3 linked regions of the Saccharomyces cerevisiae S288C genome follow. Changing the gene in region 1 together with any one later gene gives a genetic interaction. Each region holds a gene or a part of one and is shown in the gene's direction. Other genes may lie near its edges.

Region 1 (4,211 bases):
TGGAAAAGTATGCGAATTAAAGTAATCCATGTGGTAAATAAAATCACTAAGACTAGCAACCACGTTTTGTTTTGTAGTTGAGAGTAATAGTTACAAATGGAAGATATATATCCGTTTCGTACTCAGTGACGTACCGGGCGTAGAAGTTGGGCGGCTATTTTGACAGATATATCAAAAATATTGTCATGAACTATACCATATACAACTTAGGATAAAAATACAGGTAGAAAAACTATAATGAGTAAGGATAATAGGTTAGCAAGTATTTTGCTGCAGCCTGTAGCATCATCCTCTGGAAATTGTACTGAATTCCATGACTCAAAGTTGCATACTCTGCAAGAGGAACTTAATTTCTTGCCACTAGAAGGAGTTGCGTCGAATGTTTGCCCGCCGATGTTTAGAGGTCATAAGAACTACGTGTTTGTGTTATATTGTTTGAATCAAGTCGATCTCGTTACGAATTTGCAGGATTCTACAAAACGTTACTACCCACTGCAAATATTTAAAGATTGTCAATTGAGTTCTTTGGTTCAGAAGGATTTTTCACACTATTTCCAACTCAGCAGGCAAAAGGAAGGGGAAGATCGGAACGATAGTGATACCACCTTGGTTAATGTCGTCAATTCTGGAGTATCCCGCCATAGAAGTCAATTACTAAAGATGTGTATTATACCTAGAATTTGTTCCTTTGACAAATCCAACTCCAAAACCTACAAGCTAATTCAGGAATATGTTAATCGCTTTGAAACCGTTTTAACAAAATTTGGCCCAGAAAAAGATTTCACCAAAGTTTACGCTAACTGGTCAAAACTCATTGAGTCGTTTAATGAGCTTATTTTACATGACCTGTTGGTGAAATGGCAACAATGGTCTGAATTAACTCAGCCAAATGCCACGGTCCATCAGAACATTCCGAATGTTCTCAGGGAACTCGTAATAAAATTAACACAAAGGTACTTTACATTCCAACCTTCATACAGTTGTTCGATTGATGAATTCACAACAATTTTACTTAATAAAAATGCTTTGAGTCTCTTGGACGTTTTCAGAAAACCCAGAAAATATAAACTGAATTTTGGTTTATGGCTAGATTGTCAAAACGGTATTTTAATTTTTACAAATGGTATTGTGCAGATGGCAGATGAAATTACAAGTGAGAGGGTGAAATCCTTTGTCAGGCCAGCACATCTCTTGGTATTGGAAGACCATTCAAATGATGAAGCAGTCAAGAAACTAATGTTTTTCACTTTTTCAGCGATATTACAATGCTTTACAGATGAGATTCTGAATTGTTAAAACGGGCTATCCATATTACATCTGAACCAAAAAAAACTTTTCTTTGCTGTTTACTTTAAATCTTGCTTAATGTGAAGATTTTTTTCTGTTTGCCCTTTCACTAGGAGATTTTTAACCTAATTTTACCAGCCGATTCGTTAGTAGGAATGCATTTTTCCAAAATCAGGAATTTTTACGTCATCCCGCTCTCCTTTGAGATCCGGGCAAACTTCTTATTTTAGCCACTCGAGAATTTTTTTCTTTATTATAAAAAAAGTAATTATGCCTCCGCACTAATCTTAAAAAGCTTTTTAACGTAAGTGGTATACTGCAGACCAGGACCATTGTTTTACTTCATTGCCTGAAATAGTATCTAGGTTAGATATTGATTTTTCTTACACTTCAATAAAACAATTGCATTCGTTATACATTTTTTTCTTTCCAAACATTTGCTATAAAAAATTTTTTGATCCCTCGCCATACTAATTTTCTATTGTTCCTCGAAATTAGTGATAATCCTCGAGAAATATTTGGTGAGCTATTTTCTTTGTGCATTATATGAAATTCATGTCCGTATAGTTTGTTTTTTTAGCAGAAGACAATATAAAATGGAAAGAGTATGGTTTGCAAAATTAACAAATAAAGGAACTATTAAAATCGGGTATATCTCATTTATACTTCTAAGTTTGCTATGTCAATCTCTGATTGGGCTGGTTAATGCTGATTTTAATTATGAAGGCTGTTACAGTGCCGCGGATATCCAGTCTGCTGGACTGTCTCTGAAAAACTCATACATATATCAATCAGTGTCATACTGTCAAAACCAGTGCCCTGAGTCAGCAGTAGTAGCATTATTTAACGGGTCAGATTGTTACTGCGGTAATTCGGTAAGTTTTCTGACTTCTTTGACGAAATCAACAGATTCAAACTGTGGAACTAAATGCTCTGGCTGGCCTTACCAAATGTGTGGAGGGTCATCGTACATGAACGTGTATGTAAATGCTGAAACTTTTGTTTCATCGGTTGAATCTTCCTCTTCCAAAGAAGGGTCTAGCACTTCCTATATGCCCTCAACAACTTCTTCATTGTCCTCCGCCCAAATTTCTTCAACTACTAGGAGAACGTCAACAGATATGAAAAGTTCTGAAATGATAGCCACGACAGTTTCTACCACTTCAACAACCTCTTCCTCGACTTCCTCTACTACCTCTTCTACCACCTCTTCTACCACCTCTTCTACCACCTCTTCTACTACCTCTTCCTCGACTTCCTCTACTACCTCTTCTACCACCTCTTCTACCACCTCTTCTACCACCTCTTCTACCACCTCTTCTACTACCTCTTCTACTACCTCCTCTACTACCTCCTCTACTACCTCTATCTTTTCTGTTACGTCTAGCTCCTCATCCATTACATTGTCCTCATCTGAGCATACCACAGTCGATAGCCGTACTTCTTCACCCTCTTCCACCTTGGTGCCAGTGTCCTCGAGTAGCAGCACACTATCAACTCCAAAAGTGACCTCAATGACCCCTAGTACGTCATCAACGATACCAATAGTTACCTCAGTGGAACTAGTGACTAGTGTGGTTACAAAAGCGATCGTGAGTACTTCTGATCAACATCAGGAAACAATATTTGTTACGAGGACATCCGTGGTTGAACGATCTTCTGAGGTAGCTACTGCTACTGCTGCCGCCTCAAATAATAGATCTAATTCGACTTCGAAGCAGCGTCTGAGTGGTGGAGCCATTGCCGGTATTGTTATTGGTGTTGTGTTTGGCGTAATTTTTATTATTTTGATTCTATTGTTCCTGATATGGAGGAGACGGAAATCGCACGACCAATTAGACTTGGAGGAAACGAAACATTATCAGCCCTATTCGTTCGGTGATGAGGATGCAAATCCAATAGGACCGCCTCCCTCCTCTGGTACGACAAATTGGATGAGACATTCAAGGGGTAATACAGCGGGTTCTATCGGTACAAGTAATATGTATGGTTTTTCTATGAGTAATGGTGCAAATTATAGTAGTCCTAGTTCAAACACCAGTGGAAGCATCATAAACAACTTGGCTGGCTTACAAGATGCTACGGTTCAGAAACAGAACCTTCCATCGACAGTTTTTGAAGAGGCAAATACTTTGAATAGTGCAAATGAAAGGTTCAGTGCCAATTCTTTACCCGACATGATGATGAGCGGACCATTGCAAGTGGTAAACCCTGATAATCCTGATAATCCTGAATTATCTAGTACCGTATCTCATAATCGAGCCTGAAAAACTCGCATAAACTCTCAACATTAATGGTAATCAACTGGTTCTGCTGGACGGAGCCATTCTAAATCATTAACTTTATAATATCATGTTTTATACCCTAATATTTAAACAATTTACTGCTTTTGGCACTTCAACTGTTAGAAAAAGAACAATAATATTTAGTATTTAGTTTCATTTTTAAATTTTCTGATTCACTTCATTTGCAGCTTCTAATGATGTTTGTGGTACAAAAATATAAACAATTTTAAAATATTAAAAAAAAATGCTTCCAATCGGATTTGAACCGATGATCTCCACATTACTAGTGTGGCGCCTTACCAACTTGGCCATAGAAGCTAAATCTCTGAAAGCTGCGCTCTTCAAAGGCGAACCAAGCAAGATAAATTAATATTATTATGTAAAACTATCGTTTTCCTTTTGTTGATTCCTATATCCCGGAGAAGAACTACTAATTATCAAATTATTCACCAAATGATCAAATTTAGCAGCGTAGTGAGTGCCACTATGTAGATGTTGGAATAAAAACCAACTATCGTCTATCAACTAGTAGTCATACTATCAATATATTATCATATACGGTGTTAGATAGTGACATAAGTTATTATAGAAGCTGTCACCGAAGTTAGAGGAAGCTGAAATGCAAGGATCGATAATGTA
Region 2 (3,404 bases), on another chromosome or scaffold:
AAGATTTTGAGCGGCATTTTTCCTAGTTACTTATCAATTTTCATACATGCAAGACATACTCAATTTTTTTTTTTTTTTTTCAGTTTTAAAATTAGTCCTGATCAAAAAGCCATCACGTGGATCCCCGAAAAAAAACGGATCCGGGTAACCAGAAGTATTTTTTTCAAGGGAATAAAAGTTACCCTACCAAAATAAAAAAATTCAAGTAGGGTAATAAAGTTCCACCCCCCATCAGGATTATCGTTCTCTGACATCACCCACTCTCTGCTCGCTCTCTGCTCGCTCTCTGCTTTCTTTCCCCACGCCGGAGTGATTAAGGCGGATAGGCCCACCTGAACACCTCGCTCAGAACATCAGCGAGAGTTCCAGCCCCTCTACCCCTTACCTCTCGCCGCCCCTCATTTCGGATCAAAAGCAAAAGAACAAAGGGCCTTCGCAGAAACGGAAGGTTTCGACCCCTCGGTGCCGTTTTAATTTCTTTTTCTGGCCAGTTAAGCTTTTTGACTTTCTCGAATCAGCCCAGTGCAAAACAGTACGCATACGAGCACACAAATGTATATATATGTGTATGTATATATGTATATAGGTATGTGTGTGTACATCCGAAGCGTAAACTAATGATCTGCAAGTTTCAGATTTTTTCTCGAAAAATATAACTAATAAACGTTCCATGTCGTCCACGGATATCAAGCCTTGTGCCGTGAACATCCCTGTTTCCGCTCACATCACCTTCCACTACAAGTCGATCGCGGACAGAAGCAGCAGCAGGAGCAGCAGCAGCAGCTCCTGCTCCTCTGCTACATCTAAAGCCTGCTCCCCCAGAGGCAGCTCCGTCGGCTTACCGCCTGCTTTATCAACTGACAATGAAATCGTCGAGACTGTACTTAATGTTTCCGCTCCCGTTGTAGCAGACCCTACGCGGCCCTCATTGTTCAAGAGTAACTACACCGCAGCCTCGTGCTTGACTTCTGACCCAACCTCGCCGTCACTACTGCCCTCTTCTAGGCGCAACTCTGTATTGCCGGCAAGCGACTTCCACCAATGCGCGCATCACAAAAACTTTCAAAGAAGGGCCAGTGAGCCACAACTGCCCTCCTTCGATAATCGCTCGTCGTCCGAGATGAAAAGGTCCGTCTCGTACGCCCAGCATAGCATGATGTTCCCCATCAGTGACCAACAGGAGCCGCAAACATCCGCGTCTCCTAACGACCACTCAGACCCGTCTTGTCCTTGCAACAGACATCACCACAGAAGAAACTCGGTCGCCGTCAAGTTTGACAAACCATTGTATGAGAGACTAGAGACGTAGTTATCCATTCGTCCATCCATCTGTCTATCGTCACACAGCATTTCCCATCCCTCCTCTATACATACATACATATACAGTTCTGCGTGGTCTACGCAGCCATGTATATATATATTTCCGTCGTTTTATATATTCATTACTAAAATCGACAATGCATTTTTTGCCGCTTTCCATTTCCTCTACTTTGCTCATCACTTCGCTCGAAGAAAAAATGAAAACCGTCTTGAAAAACTTTTGCTATTTCATCCATCCAAGCCACACCAAATAGCGCAGTCACACAGAGATCATGGTTACATATGCTGGAAAACTGGTTCTAGCTCCAATGGTAAGAGCCGGCGAACTGCCCACGAGACTGATGGCGCTGGCCCACGGTGCAGATCTCGTCTGGTCCCCAGAAATCATCGACAAAAAGCTAATTCAGTGCGTCAGGAAGGAAAACACTGCACTCCAAACTGTCGACTACGTCGTGCCGTCCAAGGTTCAAACGAGGCCGGAGACGCTCGTTTTCAGAACATATCCAAAACTAGAATCCTCTAAATTGATTTTCCAGATCGGGTCTGCATCCCCGGCTCTGGCCACCCAGGCTGCTTTGAAAGTGATCAACGACGTCAGCGGGATAGATATCAATGCAGGCTGCCCCAAACACTTCTCTATACACTCCGGCATGGGCTCTGCCCTCTTGCGCACCCCAGACACACTGTGTCTCATCTTGAAAGAACTGGTTAAGAACGTGGGTAACCCTCACAGCAAACCCATCAGTGTGAAAATAAGACTCTTGGACACCAAGCAAGACACTCTACAGCTCGTCAAACGTCTGTGTGCCACGGGCATCACAAATCTTACAGTTCACTGCAGGAAGACTGAAATGAGAAACAGAGAGCAGCCCATCACAGATTACATTGCGGAGATCTACGAGATATGCCAGGCAAATAACGTGTCGTTGATTGTGAACGGCGCTATCCGCGACCGCTCTCATTTTCATGATTTACAAGCGAATCATTGGAAAAACACTAACATTGGTGGTATGATTGCAGAGTGTGCTGAACGGGACCCTACAGTTTTTGATCACACTTCTAAGCCTTCAGAAGACGGTCCATCTTGGGTCGTTGCTTGTCGCGAGTTTATTCAGTGGGCAACGAAGTTTGACAACCACATCGGCAATACAAAATACATGTTAAGCAGAATTGTCCCCGGAAAATCAGTCTTTTTTCAGTACTTTGCCCGTTGCAAGAGCCCGGAAGAAGTTAGTTTCGTACTAAAGCAATTGAACGATGATGGAAGCGCTCAAACAGATCCTTCAGAGTACTTGGAAAACTGCAGAGCTCAAGAAAAAGCTTTGAAAAACGCCAACGCCATCGCCAAGCAAAAGAGGAAACAGACCGATCACATAGGCAGTGACACTAAAAAGCAAAAGGTTGTACCCCTTCCCACAGATATATAATATATTCTAAGTAAAAAGAACGGATTATGAAAGAAAACGCGCATAATATATATATGTATGTATTTTCTAATTTATATTAGCAACTAAATTAAATTACATCAATACTATTTTTTTTTTTTACTTTACAAGGTTTATTTCAAAGTCTTCAACAATTTTTCTTTATCATCGGTAGATAACATCTTGATAACTTCAGATAATCCATCAATAGCATTGTCATGGTCGCTTCTGATCTTTTTAGCTAAGTCTTGAGCGAATGACTCTAATTTCAAACCCTTTAGTTTATCGTCCAAAGTTTTGTAGTTTTCTTCAATCCATGTTGCGACTTGCCTATCATCTTCATGGTCCACTGAAGCAGGGTACCACGATCTAATTCTTGCGATCTTTTCTAATCTTGATGCTTCGCCTACCTGATGGCTCAACCTTTTAATCAAATATTCTTCGTTCAATCTTCTTCTCAATCTCCAGAAGAAGAAACGACGTGCCTCGGTCCATTCCAGTTCCTTAGAAATAACACCCTTGGCCACCATACGTGAAGACCTATCGTGCAAATCAGCAAATTGAAGACTGATTTGTCCGTAAATTGGCAATAGTTCTCTCTCACGATCAGCTAATTGCTTGGATATTTGCTGATGTACTTCTGGAGCCAAACTCTTGTTG
Region 3 (3,581 bases), on another chromosome or scaffold:
ATGAAAGTTTTCGAAGAAAAATCGGGTTCATTAAAGATCTTAGATTGTAAGTCGGAATCACGTAATTTTAGGGAAGTTAAAATCGCAATTTTTTTTATATTACTGTTGGCTTTTAATTCCGTTTCGATTAACCTCTTTAATCTTTCCATCCTATCAACGCCCTTAAGAATGCCATCGCCTTCGCAATGAGGAACTAGTAAAACAACTTTAGCTGAAGGGGAATAGTGTCTATACTTCATACCAGGCGTTCTTACCTTTTCGCCCTTTTCAACTGTTTTCTTATTCTCAACTTTACAAAGAGACCAAGCTTCACCACCCAATTTAACAATTTCTTCATATGTAAAACCGCCAGGTCGCAGTAGCGTAGGAGGATTACATAACCCATCAACAACAGTACTTTCTACACCAACCTTGCACGCTCCGCCATCAAGAATTATGGGAATTTTATCCTTTAGATCATGATAAACATGAGACGCTAAAGTAGGAGATGGCCTAGTAGACGCATTCGCTGAAGGAGCAGCTATTGGTGTATCGCTCAGGGCAATCAGTGCTCTAGCCACTGGATTAGCGGGTATGCGTACCGCAAACGTAGGCTGATCTGCGGTCGTTAACTTTGATAATGCACTATGCTCTGAAGATGGAACTGGCAAAAGAATTGTTAATGGGCCAGGCCAAAGGCTTGAAATTAATGGGCGATAGATTGAGGGTATGTTATCAAACAAGGATGTACCTGATAGATGCGGTTGATTAAAGACCTTTCTGTTAAGTTGATCAATGGATGAAACATGTGTAATCAAAGGATTGTCACTAGGCCTATTTTTGGCCCTGTATATACTAAGCACTGAATTATCATTTAAAGCAGAACCTCCAAGACCATAAACAGTTTCGGTTGGAAAAGCCACAGTCTCATCTGTATCTCTTATTATCCTCGCCGCTTCAACTAGCGCTGCTTCCGTTTCAGGATCTGTTATCGTTGGTAAGGAACCATCTATATGCGCATCAGGGGAGAAAATGATTGATAGCGGGTTAACTTTTAAGATCTTGGTATCAAACAGTGCTTTCGATGTCATTGCCAAAAAATGTCGTCCAAGGTACATACAATTCTAAAAATGGAATAATAAACAGGACTACCATTAAAAATGGAAACAGGTTTAGTGGTAAGTTAACAGCGCAGAAGAAAAAAAAAATTTGAGGAGAAGAATAAAGCTCTCGCTTCAAATATTATCAGCTTCAATAGGTATGTGCGATGAGGTTACTATCTTCTGGGTGAAAAAATAGTAAGGCTAGCGTAGATAATGATTTGAAATTTCTCAAAAAAATATTTTTGATACATATAATAATTTTGAAGCCTGAATTTTTCAACGAAATAGCCTTGTTGGCGCAATCGGTAGCGCGTATGACTCTTAATCATAAGGTTAGGGGTTCGAGCCCCCTACAGGGCTATCTTTTTTAGGCTCAAATCAAAAAAATGTCTAATATATTAAATTCTACTTCCTTTTTATATCTCAAAGAAGAAGGCATTTAACCCCATTCATATGGTTTACACTTGTGTTGAGATTTGTTGCTTGCGCTTCTTTTATCCTTTTAAACCGCTTATTTATCCTTTCCAACGATAAGGCTCAAATGACATCAATGTTCTCTTTTGTGTCACAAGAAATATAAATAACAACAATAAAACATTAGGTATTTAGTTGGAAGTCAAACTTGAAACTCTTCCCGGTTATGTTGTATTGGCAAGGAAAGAGCTGAATTGGTTGAGTGATGGGAGCTGGCACTCTTTTAAATGGATTAGAAAAGGAAAACTTTCCAAATAACATCCATTCAGATTTGCCTGCGTATCCTAACATGGATTCTCAAGAAGATGGCAATACTAGTAAGGAAAGTAAAAGAAATAGTCCAGTAAAACAGAAGTCCCAAAAAGATGAAGAAAAGTCATCTAAAATGGGGACTGCAAGCAACATATTCCATGAAAATAAAGATATACACGAAAGATCTGAACACACGGACGATTTTAATGATGGCTTAAAACTGGCTCCGGACTCTAGTCCAAGCTTGAAAGAGTGTCAATTTAAAAATTGGGAAAGTTTTTGGTGTAATACAGAAGGTTACAAAACTAAACACATGCAGCCCTTTCATTTTACAAGCGGATTAGAAGAAATAAAGGAACCGGTCATGGAATTGAATATTTCCACTTCACCATACAAGGGACAGAGGCCAAATTCAGCTCCAACCGAGTATTCAGCTGCCACAACAGCGTTTACCAAAACACAATTAGAGGTGAGTTTTCTAAAAACCAACTTGCTTACATACATTAAAAAAGAGATTGACATTTGCTTGTCAAGTGTTCCATTTTTTGACGACGCAGTTCAAATGCAAAAGAAATTCTTGGAATACAGAGATATTGACTTGGATGAAGAATATGAGCTCAAAATTTTGGGGGAACTTTTGAATGATTTAAACTTCTTTCATATGCAAGAAAACTCTTTGCTAAATAGAGAGCTAGCAGTTCGTAGATTCTCCAATCAACCTGAAAGTCAAAATTTACCTTCCATTAGGGATTTTAGAAATCCACTTTTGCCAATAGATAACCGCCCTTCTCCCCCATTAGGATTGAAAAGAAACGGAAAGTCTTTCGAGGAAACCTATGATTTCACGTCCAATACATCAAATTTTTGGGGAGAAAAAGCAGAACTACAAAACTCCATAACTGGTGGAACACCCTATTTTTTCCACCCTAACAATATACATCAAACAAAACCTTTTATGTCATTTGAAAATCAAAATGAACTTCTATTCCAGAGAAAAAATTCAGATTACAAGCAGCATTTTAACTCTGGAAGAAATATACATAATGGAGTGGAATCGAAATCTTACAGAGGTGTGGGGTTAAACGATAGTTATCAAAAGGGTTATGCAGCAATGACAAAGTCGTTTGGAAATATCGATTTAAATAGAATGCCCAGAAGAAGTAATGAAGAAATGTATAGCTGGTCACGTAATTGATCAATGAAAGTAAATAAAAAAAACTACTAATCATATATACATGTCTTGCATACGCACGTTTGTTTATATTATTTCGAGAAATGTTTTTTTGAAAGTTCTTCATTTTTTCTTCTTTTGGATGCTGCAATCATTTCTTGTTGACGTCTTCTTTTGGCCTTATCCATCTTAGGCACAGTAGTAATCTGCTTTCTTTCTTTATGCGCTTTACCGTTTTTTATACTTTCTTTCTCCTTTCTGGTCATTTTAGCCATTTTATCCATCCACTCAGATACTTCACAACCACTTTGTTTCATGACATTTATTATTGGTTTAATAGCTACTGAGTCTTGTTTAGTATAGAATGTGATAGCTTTACCTGACCGCCCACCTCTACCTGTTCTACCAATTCTGTGAACATAAGCCTGAGACGATCCTGGAACGTCATAATTGATGACCAGATTGACACCTTTGAAGTCAATACCACGAGCTAAAACGTCGGTACAGATCAAACACCATAATTCACCAGTTTTAAATCGTTCAATAATCCTGTCTCTTTGTAAGGCTGTTCTTTCTGCATGAATCACATCTACGTTAATCCT

What was found.
Region 2: mutations in WSC3 (region 1) and SMM1 together harm fitness more than expected from each alone (negative genetic interaction), as found in Saccharomyces cerevisiae (one large-scale study listed by BioGRID).
Region 3: mutations in WSC3 (region 1) and SPO74 together harm fitness more than expected from each alone (negative genetic interaction), as found in Saccharomyces cerevisiae (one large-scale study listed by BioGRID).

The regions. Positions count from the first base shown.
Region 1 is NC_001147.6:113,481-117,691, reverse strand, and holds WSC3 (Wsc3p), read left to right. Parts: upstream 1-1,883; coding exon 1,884-3,554; downstream 3,555-4,211. Other genes in the region: NDJ1 (Ndj1p), read left to right, coding at 238-1,296.
Region 2 is NC_001146.8:651,795-655,198, forward strand, and holds SMM1 (tRNA-dihydrouridine(20) synthase (NAD(+))), read left to right. Parts: upstream 1-1,592; coding exon 1,593-2,747; downstream 2,748-3,404. Other genes in the region: YNR014W (uncharacterized protein), read left to right, coding at 671-1,309; acetyl-CoA carboxylase ACC1, read right to left, coding at 2,879-3,404. UniProt on the Saccharomyces cerevisiae protein: Catalyzes the NADPH-dependent synthesis of dihydrouridine, a modified base found in the D-loop of most tRNAs. Specifically modifies U20 in cytoplasmic tRNAs. Also able to mediate dihydrouridylation of some mRNAs, thereby affecting their translation.
Region 3 is NC_001139.9:183,575-187,155, reverse strand, and holds SPO74 (Spo74p), read left to right. Parts: upstream 1-1,761; coding exon 1,762-3,003; downstream 3,004-3,581. Other genes in the region: SUA5 (threonylcarbamoyladenylate synthase), read right to left, coding at 1-1,097; RNA-dependent ATPase ROK1, read right to left, coding at 3,072-3,581. UniProt on the Saccharomyces cerevisiae protein: Involved in the pathway that organizes the shaping and sizing of the prospore membrane (PSM) during sporulation. Probable component of a core structural unit of the scaffold that initiates synthesis of the prospore membrane.